Schizosaccharomyces pombe: one gene and its partners. The gene in region 3 interacts genetically with the main gene of each other region. Each region holds a gene or a part of one and is shown on either strand. Other genes may lie near its edges.

Region 1 (7,391 bases), on a different chromosome or scaffold from region 3:
ATCAAATAAGTCCTACTTTTCTATCCCAGGGATGTCAACTTCACATTTCGAAAATGGGCTCCAATTTGAAATAGACGATGAAATGGAACCATTATACAATCAAGCGAAACAGATGCGTTATGGTGATTATAATTATCCAGTTCTTCTAGTGAACAATACTCATGCATCTTCTTCATATACATAAAAGTCACTAGAACCTAGTAGCAAAAGAACTTAATGTATTGCTGAATGGCATTGCATTGGACCGTTTGGTTTTTGGCATTTGATTCTGAGCTGCCAAAACAATTTCATTCAGATTTGTCTCTAAGACAAGACCACCAGATACTACCTCAGCAAGAATAGCATGTATTTCTTGGAATTTAAAAACCTATATTGTGTTAGATCTTTCTAATTCGCTTTCAAACAGATGGCTTTCAACTCTTCTAATTATTTCTTCCTTCAATATCCTTTTTTTTTGGCGTATACACTTGTATTTGGATAATTATTACTAACACCTCCTCTTTTTTTTCATTGGAGATTGCGAATCATCGACAATGAGACTCTACTTCCAGTTCTATGCATAATTTCTTTCTTGAAGGCGATGAGAAGTAAAGGAATTAGGAATTAAACTCTTGTAGTTCCTAAGTTCAATAAATGATAAAAATAAATGTTATGCTCTTTTGATAATCGAATATTGGACAAACATTAATGTTTCTTGTAAGGCCAAATTTCCAAACATTCGAAACCAAATAAGAAAAAAACAAATTAAATAAAAAAAAACGGAATCAATGGTTTCAAACATATAGCAGTAGGATAATGGGAAGATAAACGAGTAGTGAAATGTACTTACCAAATCAAGCTCGCAAACATTATTAAAGCATCGATCTAATGCTTCAACAAATACCTTTAATAGTTAGAAATTGGAAAGTAACTAATTTCAACTTACTTGAATGAGATCGAGAATTCCTAGTTCACTTTCACCTTCATCTACTACAAAAACGAAGTAGAGAGTAGCGTACTGGCGATAAATTATTCTATTTTTACCTGCAATTAAATTACTTTCCAAAAAATTACAAGCGGTTGGGGGCCTAGTGGATACAGCTGCATATATATCTCCTATTAACTTTTGTTGAATGGATTCATCAATTGGAGTGTAAAACTTTGTGAGACGAGGTTTCCCTTTATTGTTAAATATAAAAACAGCGTAAATCATGACAATAGAAAGGGAAAGCTGGCAGAACCCAAATATGCAGTGCTTGGTAAACGGCAAGCTGAAGTTTAAGTTGAATATACGTTAATAGTAGTTTGGAAGAACCAGGATCGACAAATTTCTTTCAATGCCTTAGTTAATTTGCTATATTTAAGATTTTCATGGTTTTATATTTATTGAGTATATTATTTATCCACTATTGAACCAAAGATCTGTTACTGAAATTCATAATGTCTAGTAAACAATTTTTGCCATGCCTTCAATGATCTCTATAACGAACTACTTTGTATACAATTTAGGAATAGAAAAATAGGAAAAAACATTTGTCTTCCACCAATTTTTGAATTGATGGTTATGAAATATTCAAATAGCTACATAGTATGTGACATCTCAGTAATAAGTAGACACATACTAATAGTTATATGAGGTGATCCCACTATTCAGTTACTATAGGTATATATTGGTAGCTTTTTTTTGATTAATATACTAATTAAGTGAATATTTGCATAATATGATTAGCAATGAACGCTGCCTTGCTATATGGGAGGCACTTGTTTTAATCAACACTACTATAGATGATAGTAAAGCGAAATTCCAATTACGTACGATTAGACAGTACGTGCCTAAGTGTTTTTCTATGAAAATAGAACTAATCATTTCTTCATACAATGTAAGCTGATTTAAACGGAAGAATTTAAGTATTGCAAGTAAGTTGCTAGAATATTAGACAGCCTAAAACTTGATAAAGCGAATATTGACGAAGCTAAGGCTCGTGGACTACTGTTGCAATCACCACTTTACTGGTAACGAGATTAAATAGAATTTGATATCCCATTTTTTTAAACCGAAAACAAATTGTATTAACATATTCCATCTTGCTTAACACCTTCAAATAACTCCCTTTCTTCTCGTATTAAACATTTTTACGAAACGTGTTACAATAGTCGTACAGTTCCTACGACTACGATATTGGCATATAACAAATAGCGCTACCAGACAATCAATAAGTCATTAGCATGAAAAATAATTGCCACGTAACTAAACTCGCTACTTCTCATTAACCAACGTCTTCTAGTAGTTGTCGATGAGTTTGTATTGATGCCTCCTGTTTCAAAAAATACTCGCACTTCATCAAAGACTGTTAAGAAACCCTATGACCCACCTCAGGGGAGCTCAAGGCCCTTTTTTACGGTCTTGAAACGGGCATTTTCATCTGTTTTGCACCCATTCACCAGTGGTCTAGACGAGAAAGCTTCAGGAACGGCTAGCAAGGATAGAAAGAGTGGAAGAGCAGGTACAAAAAGCCTGCTTACTCCAGAGTTAACACCTCATTATTTAGGAAAATCTCCGTAAGTTGACATTTTTGTCGTGAAACATATTAACATTAAATAGAAGAATTATTCGCGTTAGTAATCGGAGCCATGTTAGAACAATTGATGGAATAGAGGAAAAAGTTCATACGAATACATTTGAACCTAGGAAGCCAAAGCAAAAGCAAGATTATACTAATTCCCCAACGCTTTTTAAACGCCATGACGAGTTGTCGTTAAAATCACTTAATTCGCTTCATCCTTCTTCTGCTTTATCCAAAAAGTTGGGCAGCACTTCTCAACATCAAATTGCAACTCCCAAATCCTCTGCTTCATTGCTCAATATCCTTCGGTCACTTCACGATGAGCAGAAAAATACCTTAAATATATCAAGTGTAAAACAAGATCGTATTACCGAAGCTAATCCTACTTGTGAGAAGCGCAAGCCTTCTAGAAGTCCCAGTCCTATGCTTTCCAAAAAGAAATCTGTTGCTCGTGCCTCTGAAAACGAGCCCTCAGCTAAGCAGAACAAAAGCTTTTCTGGAAATGATTCCCATAAGAGTCTTACCGACATTAGAGATAAGGAGAATGGCGAAACAGAGGTCTCAGCAAAAAATCACGTTCCTCACCGCTCCTCTCGGCGACGTCGTAGACACCAGCGGCTTATCCCTATCATTTATGAAACTCTTGAACAGATGGATTTAAGGAAGCCTGTATTAGTCAATGCAGAAGTTCAGACAGATTCCAACCCCGGTAATACAATGTTTATTGATAAGCAAGATATTTATCACCGGTTAAGTACACCCACTTCGCGTAAGCGTCAGACTCTCGAGAAAGGTCATATTAAGGCTTTTTCTGCAGTTGATGAGGATTTGGATGAAATCTTTGCTTGCGAAGATGACGTTCATTACACCGCATTACCCAAACAAAATCCAAAATCTGAGCGTATATTAGAACCTATAATAGCATCTCCCAAGGATAATACAAGTGACAAGGGTTTATTGACGAAGTCCGCCCCTACCTTTGAAGAGCTTCAAGCCTCTATTACCCCTAAGCCTGTAAAGACTTCTCCGAATGATACGGCACTTACTCTCGCGAACGCTGAGGATAATAAAACCTTTGAACATCAGCCATTGTCAAAGGATACAGAAGCGCCCAAAAGCCAATTTTCCTCATCGCCGACAAAAGAATCTACAACTAGAAAGTCCGAAGTTGAACCGCCATCACCTTCTAAGGAAATCAAATCTTCTCACTTTTCAGTACCCGAATTTAAGTTTGAACCGAAGACTGAAGCTACCACGGACAAAAAATTAAATGTACCCAAATTTGAGTTTAAGCCAACTGCTACTGCTGATGTGCAAACTAATCGTTTGAAGGAGAATGAGCCCAAGCCAACGTTCTTTGCACAATTACCGTCAAAGACTCAAGAGACGCCAAGTATAACTGAGAACAAGCCTTCATTTTTTTCTCAATTAAGTCCAAAACGAGAAGAAACAGAAAAGAAGGACAACGCTCCGTCTGCTCCTGCTTCAACTTCTGGTTTCAGCTTTGGAGGATTCGCACCTAAAACCCTTGAAGAGAAGGAAGAAACGAAAGCTCCTACGTTCAATTTCTCTTTAAACAATGCTTCTAGTACACAAGACACAACAAAACCTACGCTACAATTTAATTTTGGAAGTAGTTTTGGAAAGCCAACAAGCAATATTTTCAATGACAAAAAAACTTCTGAAAATGGTCTAGCTAGTTCTACTGTTGCTTCTGAGTCAAAACCGTCAGCTCCCGAATCAAAACCGTCCTCGGGTTTTGGAAATACCGCAGGCTCATCACCCTTTTCATTCAATTTGACCAAGGAGTCCAAAGAAGTCCCACCTACAAATTCCTTTTCTTTTGCTAAAAAAGGGAAAGATGAAGCGAATGACAGTTTGTCAGCTAAAGCTTCTACTCCATTTTCGTTTGCAAAACCTAATACTGAAAATGTAACAACAACTGCTCCTCAGTTTTCATTTAATTTTACCAAGCCAAATACGGATGCCAAAACCAATTTGCTACCTGAAAAAACTTTTAATGAAGAAGCCGTAAAGCAAAAGGAAACTGAAAAAGAGGTCCCTCCAACAGGTCCAAAAGCTTCTGAAATAAAGGATTCAGTATCTTCTAATAACGCTGTGCCCTCTTCAACCTTTAATTTTGTATCTCCCTTTGCTGCTGTATCTGAAAAAACAAATGAGAATAACATTCCTAACGATACAACGAAGACGAATGGCAATGCTACTAAGAGAACTTTGGAACAAACGGAGGATGCAAAGCCTTTTGCTTTCTCCTTCGGTTCCACTACAGAACAGGCAAACAAAAAAGCCTCAACGTCAAATGAAACTACGAAGCCTCAATTGGATACATCTTCTAAAACTGATGGAGTAACTGCTAATGCGCCGTTTAGTTTTGCATCAGCTTTTAATGCACCTAAACCCTCGACTAATACTGCTGATGGCAAAGATTCTGCTTCGAATCTTACCACTCCTTCACCTGCTTTTTCATTTGGAAACAATAGTGGTGTTAAAGCATCCAGTAACAACAATCCCTCTACAAATTCGTCTACGGCACCGTTTTCTTTTGGTACATCAAATAAACCGGCATTTAGCTTTGGGTCTGCAACTTCAAAGACTACCTCTGAAGGAACCGCTCCAGCTGCTTCTGCTTCTGCTCCTGCTCCCACTACGTCTGCATTTTCTTTTGGAGCATCAAATTCTAGTATGAATAAGGAAGAGAACACTCCCATGGCTAAGGATGCTGGAGATACGGCACCTGCGTCTGGCTTTAAGTCTGGGTTTTCGTTCGGTGCTAACAATTCGCCTCAGCCTGCTTCTATGTTTGGTACATCGACGCCGGCCCCGTCTTCCGCGTTTGCGTTTGGCAACCAGTCAGGCACGAACCCAGCAGCTCCTGCAGGGTTTGGAGGGATTACTAATACTGCCACTAATAACCCTCCTAGTACAGGTTTTACATTCACTCCATCAAATGCTGGATCAACTGCGGCTCCTATGTTTGGCGCTGGAAACACTCCCAACCCATCCGGGTCCATCAATAATGCATCACAAGCATTCGCCTTCGGGTCAGGAGAACCTAGTAATCCAGCTAGTAATCCACCTAGTACCGGATTTTCGTTCGGTGCGGCTACTCCGTCTGCCTTTAATGCAAGTGCCTCACAATCACCAGCGCCCAATGGTATTCAATTCAATTTGGGCTCTTCTAACTCACAAACAAATGCGCCCCCGGGCCGTAAAATTGCTGTGCCCCGAAGTCGAAGAAAACGTTAAATTAATATTATGACATGTTGACAAGACAATATGACAAAACATTGCGGTTGGGTATATGATAGTTTAGATAGACTTTGTCCTTTAAATTAATTGCTAAGGAATAATTATTACATTTTTGTTTACACATACGGACGCTTTTATTCTTATTATATAAATTAAAGTACGAGCTTTTTGTAAAGGAGGTCTAACCAAGTTACCCATGAGACACAAAACCCAATTTCCATTATACATATGAAACCCTAATATAATCTAGTATCTAAAAAATTCAAAACCTAACCAAACACTTATCATTTGAAAATTTCTCCCTTTCACGTATTCACCTATTTGCGCTTAGATTTCGATTTTTTTGTAGACTTTTTGTTGCTAAGTCTATCATTCTTTGTCTTCTTGTATGCTCGGGGCACCTCTTCCTTTTCCATTTGCTTTTTTCTTTTAGCTAAAGACTTTTTATCTTTCGCTTCGGAGGCTATAATGTTAGCAAACATATTTTTTTATTTCAATGTCACATACCTTTAGAAGCTTGTTTATCTTTTTCGGATTGAAACCAGGTACGTGCTGGACGAGAACGAATTTCATCACCATATTTCATAATGTTTTCGCCTTTCTTTAAATCGCGTTCGGCAATTTTTAGCTACATTTGTTAGAAAAAAAATTTATATACTTATAAAAACAACATACTTCTCGTTCTTGTTTTTCTTCATCTAGCACTTTCTGAACAACAGGTTCCAATTCCTCAATTTCTTTACCAAACTTTTCAACTTTGTTAAAATCCAGATTACGGTTGACCAATTTTGTGTTTTGCGCTGAAGAATTTTTGAATACACCTTTAAGAACTTTGCGATCGCCCTCACCGGCTAATGTAATAGCTCTACCACTCCTGCCAGCACGAGCAGTACGACCAACACGATGAAGATAAACTTCGTGAGTAGCTGGAGCTTCGTAATTTATTACGACCTCAATGCCTTTGATATCAATACCACGAGATGCAACATCTGTAGCCAACAAATAGTTACATTTTCCATCACGAAAGTCTTCCAAAGCACGGACACGCTGTTCTTGCGACAATGAACCGTGGATTTCGGTAGCGTTTAAGGATAAAAGGCCAAATATGACTCGCATCTTGTGAGCAAAAGCTTTGCTCCTGAAGAAGATAATAGTTCTTCTATGAAATAATTCCTTGCAGAGATAGATAAGCATAGCTGGGCGAAGTAACTCACGTTGTGGTCGAACACGGACAAATTCCTGAGTTAAAAGTTTGGCGGTAGTTTTCTTATTATCGACAAAAACTCGTACTGGCCGATTTAAAGATAAACGAATTAAATCATCTACTTTATCAGTCATAGTGGCCGAAAAAAGCATCGTTTGTCTAGACTTTGGACAAGCTTGAATAATTTCATTCAGTTCATCAGCAAAACCATCTTCCAGCATACGATCGGCTTCATCCATTACCATAATCTCAATGTTTTCCACAGTGAATCCTTGTGAATTGCGCATATGATCAATAAAACGACCCGGGGTGGCGATGACAATGTCAGGACGTTTACGAAGTTCCTGCTCTTGTAACTTGAGGGACAAACCACC
Region 2 (4,877 bases), on a different chromosome or scaffold from region 3:
CGACAGTGTCTAAGGATTTTGGGAGGAAGCTACAGACCTGATTACAAATTTCCCGATGTTATATTTTCTGATTTATTGACTTCTTACTCGAGGGTCATTGCTGATCTCTGGCTAGCTGGAGCAATCTTGATTTACGTAACTGACTCACCTAATAACTCTCATAGAAAACAATATGAAAATGAGGTTATTATGTCAATGATTGCAGCGTATCCATACGCTATCCGATTTCGTCAATGTTTGATTGAAAGAAGCTCTGCGGATAATTCATCAGATAAATTTTGGAGTACATTGAATTCTATCAAGTATTTCACTGCTTTTCCAGCGATATTCCTTGGGATTTTTGCAAAGAAAAGATTTAGCTTTCTATGGTTTTTATGGAATACCTCTTCAGCTATAAATTCAACTTATTCATTTTGGTGGGATGTTTCAATGGATTGGAGTCTTCCCTTTTTTAAGCAACCGTTATCAATCCAAAACTGGAAATTTGGGGTTCGGCGTTTATTCCCAACATTCACATTTGCAGTTGTAAGTGCGATTGATTTTGTTTTGCGAATGGCCTGGGTAGTTCGCGTTTTGCCTGAACATCAATCCGCGTTTTTTACCACCGACTTTGGGATCTTTATAATGCAATTTCTTGAAGTTTTCCGACGTTGTGTTTGGGTTTTTTTTCGGATAGAAGCCGAAGCTTCTAAATCATTGGCCTATGTTAACATAAGTGATCGTAGTGACATCCCGACAATACATCCAGATTAAATGGAAATGATTGAAGTTACTATTGTCACATATGTGTAGGTATTACATCTGCAACCTTTTCAAAAAATTTCTTTCTTTAGGGCGTATCAATTTACCGTTCTATTATTTGCTTGGCATATAATATGTTTTTCATTCTTTTATTGCGCTAATGGTTTAATATTGCAAGTACATTGTCATTTGCGGACTTGCAACACAATGGCACCGTCTCGCTGAATTGGGTTTACTTAAAGTAAGAAAGTTACTTAAAATTTTATTATGGATATATACTTTTATTTGTTACATGGGAATCGTAATGGGTTTGAACAAATTTCACCATCTTTTACTGATTAAGTTGTTGAGTCAAAAGTTTAAAACATGAATTTAATAATAAATAAATAAATCAAGCTCTCTTTTTGCATACTGAATAACAAACTAGATCAGTAGACTTTTTTATTGTAAAAACATAATCAGTAAGTATGAAAAGAACCTCCCAAAGAAAACCCCCCAAATTAATCATGCATTTATAGTGTACTCAAATTCCTTCCAAATTTACCTAGACATGAGCATGCTCTATTTATCTACTATCCAAAGAGTTTCCTAAGTGCTCCCGTACCGTTTCCAAAGGATTTGAAACGAATGAAGGGTGCTTCAATATGGCTTGGAACCTTTCGATTTCCTCAACGGTATTTCGTTTCATAGAACTCTTAGTTTGTTTAGAAGATAAACTATCCTTAATTACGGGCTTCAACCTGGAGTTAGCTACCGAAATATCAAGATCAATTTCTGGAAGTACTTCTCCAATCGAAGACACATTGACTTTCAGGTTTTCTCTGGCTTTACGGTTCCGGCGCTTACGAGCCGAAGCAGATATTTTTGGATTAGAAAATTTTTGCTGCCAGTTGAAATGACGGTCTTTCCGTTTATCTTTCTTTGTTTCTTTCAGCGGATCATTGTTGAGCACTTGACTATTCGAAGTAACGGTGGAAGATAACTCGACATTTGGAATACTAGCTTGTTGGCTAGGTTTACCAGAAGACGGTAAACGACTTGATGCTTTTGACGCTAGACTGACTCTTTTTTTTGCTTTTGGCTGTTGTCGTCAGCCAAACGTTTATCTATGGATGAACATACCATGCTAAAATAAAATTGATTGTGAATCAATCGATAAAAATCGTTTTAAATGTTAAATAGGATATATAACCAAAATAATATTTACGATTGGAGTGAAATATCTTGAATATTCGGTGTGCTTTCTGGTTTAAAAATTCACTACAACTATTGGCATCGGATTTAACGGACTGCCCTTGATTGCGTAAGTTGGTTTCATAATATTAGTATTTGAAATGAAAAACTTAACTTACATTAATTTCCATCTTATGTGCAATGAATTAAGAAACAACATTAATTAACAATTTTTATAAATTAAAGCAGTTTTAAATGAATGTCCAACATGGTTCCTAAAGTATTTGCAAACTAAACCCTATAGCCATTTTCCGAATATAAACATTGAAACTTGAAAAGAAAATACATACAAAAATAATTAGGTTAGAGTAACTGGAAGTTACATAAGAAGCCACACAGCCTAGACTTCCTAATCGATATAAAATACTATGAATTAATTACTGGAGCCAGCCAGGCTTGATGGAGCCTTAATTGAAGAAAAGGGAGATAGGGGAGCATTAGAAAACCTTTGAAGAACTTCCCTGTAAATAGAATTTTCAAAAGATTGTATGTCGATTGTTGAAAACGAGTAGCTTTCTTCATAAGCGTCTATAGAAATGCGATTTAAAAAGTTTCTTAATTGAGCGTCCGTTGTGTAAATGCCTAAAGAAGGGGTTCTTGTAGTTGAAGTAAGAATAGAATGTTCGGATTCAACACTGGATTTGTCGTCCTTCTCCGATGCTTGCTCCTGAAGTCGCTCAGAAACCTTTTGTACGAGGGATTTACGGCTAGTTTTTCCGCTCCAATAGACAGCATCTAGTGGACTAAGCATCACAACCCATTCATGTAGCGCAAATTCTTCAAGTTTGAGTGCAGTTAAAAAATCCAAAAGCCTGCATGCGTCTAATAATGTCTCTTTAGAAATGGCAACATTTGGCATACAGTAAGATTTAAAAATGATCAACAATTCGCTAACAACGATTGGCCATAATGGAAGCAAATGCTTCGAAGAGGTCCTTAAAGCTAGAGCTCTAATAAATAAAAACAGGTCCTTTTTTAATACTCCTTCAGGATCAGACGTTATAAGCCGTTTGACAAGGTCAATCAGAGGTGGAAGACTAGGCAGGAAAAAATCACGTGGAGAAGATAACATTAATATTGTGATCCGACATATGTTGCTCTGCCTTGCACCTAGTTGAGTATCCCGAGATGTAAATAAAGTAGTAACGCCTAAATCAGATTTTGTTATGAGATCATTTAATCTAGATATCTCTTGGTACAAAGCTGTGTATATTACTGGAGAAAGCTTTCTTAATTGATCAATATCGAACCTGAACAGTGAATTATCATTAAAAATTTCCCAAAAATCGCGCCTCCATGATTTACTCAAAAACGGATGTTTACTCAACACGAGCAATAAGTCCAAATGATAAGTGGTGAGTGATTCCGGAAATGTCCTAGCCTTTACTAAAGGAGTTATAAATACATTGACGATTGATGTAGCCCAAGCAACTAGTTTATCTTCTTCCTTAGAAAGCTCGGTTATTTTTGGAACAAACTCAGAACAGAAAAAGTCAAGCAAAGAGGGATCTAAGTATTTTACGAATAAATACACGGAGCTAGTTTTCTTTTGTGTTTTGGCAACCTCAAACGTGTCTGCAGCAGCTTTATGATACGCCAGAAAATCTACAGTTAGGTTTGGATCACTTGATTTTCCTGCATGAAATAAGACTGAGGACAATGTTTTCCCCATCAAATCAATAAAGTCTTTTTGCTGGCGAGATTCGCAATAAGTGTTCACGTTTTTTGCAACTTCCAGTAGCATTCGTAAACATACCAGCAAATAGTTTTTAAAGCTGTTTGAGGAAGAAATAATCTCCCGAACAAATTTTGAAATTTCCGTAAAAATCTTAGATGTGTTTTCGCCCTCCACTCTGGAGACGAAGTCAGACATACAGCATAAAATATCGAGTTGTGTAATCTTTGCTGTCAAACTAGAAGGCCCTGCATAACTAGCTATTCCTTCACGTGCAAAAAAAGAAGAAACTAATTGCTTAACAATGTACTGAGGTTCAGAATCACTAAGAAATGAAAATATATCCCATATACACTGGCAACACTCAACATTGTTCTCCAAATAGATTTGTACCAGCGTTTCTACGCATTCAAGAGGTTCACAGAAGTAAAACTCTTTTAATCCCGATAAGGATGCTTCTTTTAAAACCGATGAATCATTCATAAATACTTTTGACGTTTTATCAGCATATGAAGACCGAATATGCCATGAATATGATAAAAATAATGTTTGCAAAGCATCCTGCATAGTTAAAAGCATAGATAATCTCTTGTTGACATCGATGCTAACGCCTGACGACTCCGCTGCAAACACACCAGAAATGACATTTCCGATGATACCATTGGCTTCTAAATTACTTTTCTTGGGGCCGGGTGAATATGTGAATTCCAATAAGGCTGCTGAAACTAACTCGCTAAGCATTTTCAACTTAGCAATAAAAACATCCATGCACGCATAATCTTTTACTGGGTCAGGGTATTTTAGGTACATAGACTCGTGTTGGTCAAGAAATGAATGAACAAATTTGCACAAAGATTGAATGGGATTAACCATCAAAAGTTGAAGGTTTTGTAAAAGAAGAGGTAAAAGCTTCTTTATAGCATGTAGCCACTTTGGCGAAAGTCCTGGATCATCATTCAACATTCCAACCAAAACAAAATTGGACAACAGATAATGCTGTTCAGAGGAAAGATCTATAGTCCCATCTAATCGAGAGAGTAAAAATTCTAGCATTTGCAAAAGACTCAAAATAAAACTTCGATAAGTTGATGAAGGAGAACGCTCAACTTCCTGTACAAGCGCAAACAACCCAACGATTAGACTAGATTCAAATTTTAGAGGGTTTTCCCATATGGAGGTTATTTGGTAAAGCAATCGCAAAGCCCAGGTTTGAATAATATACACATCT
Region 3 (6,404 bases):
AGACTTTGATTTTTCGTCCGTACTGATCAATTTTTTAGGGCCTTGATAAATTTTATGACTCTGTTTTTCAATCCATTAACTCAGAATTTGATTTTGATAAATTGAAAGTCGTTATTCTTGCTTCACCAGGATTTGTGGCTCGAGGCTTGTATGACTACATATTCAGCATGGCCGTGAAGTTAGACTTGAAACAAATTGTTAAATCAAAGAATAAATTTGTCATCCTTCATTCTAGCACTGGTCATATTCATTCCCTTAATGAAATTTTGAAGGACCCTGCTGTTGAATCAAAACTAGCCGACACAAAATACGTACAAGAAATTCGCGTTCTGAATAAATTTTACGATGTCATGAATGAAGATGATAGAAAGGCATGGTATGGTCCAAATCATGTTTTGAAGGCTTTTGAACTTGGCGCGATCGGAGAACTTCTGATTAGCGATTCTCTGTTCAGGAGTTCTGACATTGCTACTAGAAAAAAATGGGTTTCATTAGTAGAAGGTGTTAAGGAGATTAACTGTCCTGTTTATATTTTCAGTAGTTTGCATGAGTCAGGGAAGCAGCTGGATCTGTTGTCAGGTATTGCCGCCATTCTCACTTACCCAGTCGATGAAGAGGATATATCAGAAGATGAAGAGGATGAGGAATCCCAAAATTTTGAACATAGTTAAAGTTCATCAGTATCCGAATTGTCATGAATCTAATTATTGCTAAGCCAATATTTCATACTTTAAGCTCGGTTAGAACAATTTGTTTCATTCTCTTAAAAAATTTATTTATGGGCTCGTTTTGGTAGTCATTATTTATGCTTTTACTTGGATGTTTTAGGGTATTTACTATGATAAACATGCAAAAAATTAGGTGTTAGAATGGTCAAAAATTGATACCCTAAAATGATTTATACTTATCGATTATAACTCTTAACTTGTAAAATTAAGCTGTTAATTATAGCCGGTCCAATACAGTATTCAATTACAGTAAAAAAATCAACTTTAAGCGATAAATTCGCTACAAACGTATTTGTTGAAGTTACTTTTTTCAAAAAACTAACAATTCGAAATTGATAGTGGCTCATTTACTTGCTTATTTTATTAAAAGTTCGCGCCAAGATACTTATTCAATAAGGGGGTTTGACCCTTCTAAAAGCTAGGCAGGTGTTTGAAAATCCGGAACCAATATATAGACAAAAGTAATTTAATAACGAAACCGATTATTGAATCAATCAATTCAAGATATATCACTGGCGATATACAACAGTTTTAAAATTCACTCAAAAATTTATCAATCATTCATAAGATGAAAATTAGGATAATTAAATCAGTTCCGTAAAACTTTGATGTTCTGCGTAAATTTAAAAAGAAAAGATATGACTAGCTTAACCAATTTAATATTCCATAAAGGCAATGTACTTGGAGAGCATGTATGCTTCCGGGAATTTCATATTTGTATGCACATTTCGTAAAAGACTGATTGTGTATATCCCTATCCACAAATGAAAATCGAATGACAGTATTAAATTGATAATCTTGACAATATATTTCCGAAAAATTTATTAGATTTATGTACATTTAATAGACCAAAAATAAAGGAATAAATAGTGACTGAATCAATCACTGCTTTCTAGTTCTCTGACTTTGAGACCTTTTTCTCATTCAATTCGGCTAATAACTTTTCCGCAGTACTAGGCTCTTTCACACGAATCAAATACATTTCAATTGATTTTCCATCAGTAGAAGCAGCAGGTACTTTTACGTCCTTTTTACCAGCCAGGCTGTATTCAAAATCCTGGCACAAACGAACGTTTAACAAAAGTTTTCCACTTCCCTCGACACGCGCAAGGATGCGAGCAGAGCCAGTGTCACGATCTACGTTAATTTTTAATGGACCAATCCCGATATCAGAATAAGATTTACTAGTAGCATCGAAACGGTATATCTTGGCCCTTGTCTCAAATACGCTGTCTTCATTTTCTTCGCCTTTTCCTTTACCAGAAACTAGAGAATCATTCGATCGAGTTTCATCATTTCCGTTTTCCTTTTCTTCTTGCTCTGATTTGTTTCCATTAGAAGTTTCTTCACTTTTTTCAGCGCCAACAGAAGCTGGAGTAGAAGAAGTAGGAAAAGAAGATTTCGGAGCAGCAAAAGAGAACGGATTAGTAGTAGTTCCAAATGAAAAGCCGACAGCCGCAGCGCTAGGAGGCTTCACATCCGAAGAGGCCGGTAACTTTTTGCTCGATAATGGATTGGTAAATGTAAATTTTTTCTCAGGTGTGTCAAATTTGATAGGCTTATCAGGAGTCCAAGAAAAACTCATAGTATTTCCCTTGGCAGGTTCAACGGCGTTCTCGGATTTTTCATTGTTCGAGGGTTTAGATTCTTCGCTCTTTGAATCTTTAGTTTCATGGGTTTGTTTGGTCTCTTTTGAAGCATCCGCAGAAGCCATAGTCGTTGAGAAAGAAAACACGGGAGTTAATGGTTTTGATTCCTCATTTTCCTTCTTAGCGAAAGCGAAAGGATTAGCGGCAGTATTGAATGAAAACTGGTTGGTTGTGGTAGCGGCAGTACCAGTGGCAGTTTGATTAGAAGATGTTTCTTTCTCCTTCGCTTCCGCTTCTGTTGCGGACTTCTCACCAAATGACCCTTTAGGAGTAAAAGCCGATGAATTAAACTGGAAAGAGCTACCAAGCGCTGGAGCAGAAAATCCGAACCTAGGAGCACCGGGGGGAACAAGGGGCTTCTCCTTATCCTCTTTTTCTGAAGAAGCTGGTTTTTCTGTAACAAAAGAAGAAGAATCTTGGCTTTTTTGTTGCTGAGGATTTACCTCAGACACAACAGCATTTGAAGTTGGTTGTTCTAAGAAAACGTTAGAAAGAAATGAAGTACTAACTATAAACGCATTACCTTCTGCTGGCTTTTTTTCTATACTTGAAAAATGCTGCCTGTATTCATCAAACAGAGGGCTCAAATTACCAAAGGGATTATTGTCAACACTTTTGATAACAGCGTCAATAAATGATTTATTAAGACCGCGTTTTTTCAAGTGAATATCTGAATCATTATTAGCTGTAACCGCGGGTTTTCCAAATGTAAATTGCGTAGTCGATGCAGGTAAAGACACCGGTTTTGCTGCCAAATTTGCAAAAATTCCCGGAGAAGAAACACCGCTCGTTGGTCTTTTTCTAGATTTTGGCTTTGCAATTCTAATACATTAGTACCTAAAAAATTGAAGAACTATGTTTCATCGTTACATACTTTCTTGTGGCCATCACGTCTGCGGAGGCCTCCTTAGGAACTTCAACTGGACCATGACGGTCATCATCAGAATCATCTTGATCCTTAGTTAACTGATGATCAGCACCGCGTTTTGACATTTTGCTAGTTTGCGAAGGTCAACTGTTAGCCCCAAAACCACCCAAACTTATGGCCTTCACTATGTCTCCTTATTTACTAATGTTACAGTAAAATAAAATAATACAAAAAATGAATTGTCGCTTGATTTTAATTAAGTATTACAAAAATAAATGACTATGGTACAAAAATTATCATAATAAAGAGCGTTCAGCTTTTTTCTTAGCGTTTCAGTTGGGCCAAAACAGATTCGCATCTGTCACATAATCCGTCCTCATGAGCTGTATGCATCCAGCAACGTAGACATTTTTGTTGATTTGAAAAAAATAAAGAGATATTTGCAACCCCATAATCCAACTGAACTTCAGGTTGTGTAACGGAAGCTAATTTCAGATTTTCGGGAATTTCGTTAATAAATACCTTCGATGTATTGAACAGAAAAGGAAGGTCGGAAGAGTAATTTTTTAAAAAACTCAATAAAGATTGAGATTTTGACTTAATAACGACATAAGCTTCTAATGAGTTTTTAATAGTTAGATTTTCACGAGCTGCGGTAATCAACAAATTAATACTATACTTAAGTTGTTGAAGAACCAAGTATTCCTTAATTAAAAATTTTCTATCAAGTAAATCAACTTTTGACCTTAAGCTGCTTATAAGATGTGTTTCTCCAGCGTGAAAAGGAGTTTGGTAAGAAGAATTCAAATAACTATCGGGTAAGCTTTGCCAAATCTCCTGTGCCAAAAGTGGAGTAATGGGAGAAATGGCCCAAATGAGCGTAAGTAATGAATGATAAAGGACAGTTTGAACACTTCTCCTAGATACACTGTTGGGTAAATCAGCGTACAGACGATCCTTTACGGCGTCAAAGTATGTAGAGGATAAGAAAGAGTTCATAAAATAATTGAGATGATGAACAACTTTGTTAATTGAATATGATTCATAAAGTTCTCGAATTTCAGTCTGAAATTTATCTAGTTGGACTAAAGCCAACTTATCAATACCACGTAATTCACCAACATCAACTGAGCTCGAGGTATTCCAGTCATGTAAGTTCCCAAGACAAAATCGGGATGTTAATCTCCACTTTTTTAAGGATTCACCAACTTGCGTCAAAATGTTCGGTCCCAGGTTAGTATCATTCGTACTGTCACATGATGCAACCCAAAGTCTCAGTAAATCAACACCATATGGAAGCTTTTTTCCTTTTAAAAGCTTTCCGTTTATTACATCTTCAGGGTCGGTTACATTGCCCAAAGACTTGGATTGTTTCTGACCTCTTTCATCAAAGATAAATCCGTGCGTAAACAAAGTAGAAAACGGTGCTTCTGGTTTTGATTGGTAGGCAGTGTATGTGAGAAGAAGTGACTGAAACCATCCCCTGTGTTGATCGCTTCCTTCCAAGCAAAGGTCAATGAGCGGTTTATTCTTACGAGGTGCTATTGTAGTCCAACTAGTCCCAGAATCAAACCATACATCAAGTGTTTCAGTGCCACGAATATACTCCTTATTTCTGTAATCCGGATGAACCCACTGAGCATGCCCATTGTTTTCAGTATCATTAAACCAAGAATCAACTCCCTCTACTTCCATTTTCTCAATGATATAGGATACACTTTTCACAGTTAGTAGGGGGATTTTAGTTCCTTTCTCATACAATACAGGAATGGGTAAACCCCATGCCCGTTGGCGAGAAATGCACCATTCAGGACGGCCATTCAAAAAACCAAGAAGTCTGGCGCGCGAATTTGGAGGAATCATTTTTACACTATCAAGTGCTTTTATGGCAGTTTTCCTTTCATTCTCCAATGATATAAACCATTGAGGGGTCGCCCGTAAAATTAATGGCTTATGTGTTCGCCAATCGTAAGGGTAGCGGTGCTTATAAGGAGAGACCTTAACAATCATATTTTGATTTTTCATAATACTTATTACTTTCTTTCCTCCATCACCAAGAACTTCCAATCCTTCAAGGCTTCCATCCAAAGCTTCTTTAGTGTATCGACCATAATCATCGAGTGGTGAAAAAGGACGCAAATTGTTTTCCAGTCCTAGAAGATAATCTTCCATTCCATGGCCAGGAGCGACATGTACTATACCAGTACCGATATCATTAGTAACGTAGTTAGATTGTAAAAATGGAAAGCTTTGCTTCGGTAATAGAGGGTTCTCATATGTAAATGATGAAATAATATCTGAAGGGCAACTCGCAAGACGCTTAGCTCCCTGCATAAAATCCAAGTTTGGAACTAAATTATCAGACATTAAATAAATCGAATTATTGTGCTGGTATAGACCATAGTTGATTTCAGGGTGGTAAGATAATGCAAGGTTTGAAGGAATGGTCCAGGGAGTTGTTGTCCAAACTAATGCCTTTACATTATTGTATTCACATCCATCGATAGAAAAACTGTTCACCGGAAACGTAAAGTAGATAGACGTGCTGACGTGATTATCATCATATTCTATTTCTGATTCAGCTAAAGCGGACCTGCTTGAAGAGCTCCAATAAACAGGTTTATTTTGACGAAATATAAGATCCTTTTGTAACAAACTTAAGAAAACCTTAAGCTCTGCTATTTCAAATTTGTCACTCATGGTGATGTACCTAGAAGGCCAATCTCCCATTACAGCCATACGTTGGAACATCATGAGTTGTTCTTGAACGGCCGAATTTGCGAAATCTTTAGCAATCTTTCGAATTTCAAGAGAACTTTTACGCTCGGCGTTTGCTTTAATAGCTTTTGACTCGATTGGTAAACCATGACAATCCCAACCAGGAACATAATGCACAGAACGGCCTTTCAGCAATTGCCAACGATTGATGATATCCTTCAAAATCTTATTTAGAGCATGACCTATATGCAGTCGACCGTTTGCAAACGGAGGCCCATCTAATAGCACGAAAGAATCTTCTTTATTCAAATTCTCCTTCTGCCATTCATACAGGTCTGATGTGATGGATTTGAAATACTTTTCATTATTTCCTTTAACGTTTGGCTTAATAGGAAACGAAGTCTTTGGCAAGCATAGTGATTCTGAATATTTCTTCAAATC

The links.
Region 1: of nup61 (region 3) and nup124, changing one enhances a phenotype caused by changing the other (phenotypic enhancement), as found in Schizosaccharomyces pombe (2 studies listed by BioGRID, with this or other methods).
Region 2: mutations in nup61 (region 3) and slx9 together harm fitness more than expected from each alone (negative genetic interaction), as found in Schizosaccharomyces pombe (2 studies listed by BioGRID).

What each region holds. Positions count from the first base shown.
Region 1 is NC_003424.3:1,109,927-1,117,317, forward strand, and holds nup124 (nucleoporin Nup124), read left to right. Parts: upstream 1-2,248; 5' UTR 2,249-2,287; coding exon 2,288-2,538; intron 2,539-2,581; coding exon 2,582-5,810; 3' UTR 5,811-5,942; downstream 5,943-7,391. Other genes in the region: transporter Hfl1, read left to right, coding at 1-184; AP-3 adaptor complex subunit Aps3, read right to left, coding at 191-367, 830-883, 926-1,192; ddx27 (putative ATP-dependent RNA helicase Ddx27/Drs1), read right to left, coding at 6,131-6,276, 6,321-6,441, 6,489-7,391. UniProt on the Schizosaccharomyces pombe protein: Nucleoporins may be involved in both binding and translocation of the proteins during nucleocytoplasmic transport. In S.pombe it is required for the nuclear localization of retrotransposon tf1.
Region 2 is NC_003424.3:495,160-500,036, reverse strand, and holds slx9 (ribosome biogenesis protein), read right to left. Parts: upstream 1,981-4,877; 5' UTR 1,867-1,980; coding exon 1,864-1,866; exon of another isoform or gene 1,823-1,863; coding exon 1,307-1,822; 3' UTR 1,010-1,306; downstream 1-1,009. Other genes in the region: erd1 (EXS domain-containing protein), read left to right, coding at 1-753; dop1 (family protein DOPEY), read right to left, coding at 2,348-4,877.
Region 3 is NC_003421.2:729,852-736,255, forward strand, and holds nup61 (nucleoporin Nup61), read right to left. Parts: upstream 3,391-6,404; 5' UTR 3,371-3,390; coding exon 3,252-3,370; exon of another isoform or gene 3,200-3,251; coding exon 2,901-3,199; exon of another isoform or gene 2,853-2,900; coding exon 1,621-2,852; 3' UTR 1,020-1,620; downstream 1-1,019. Other genes in the region: dom34 (translation release factor eRF1 family protein), read left to right, coding at 39-671; ism1 (isoleucine--tRNA (Ile) ligase), read right to left, coding at 3,570-6,404. UniProt on the Schizosaccharomyces pombe protein: Functions as a component of the nuclear pore complex (NPC).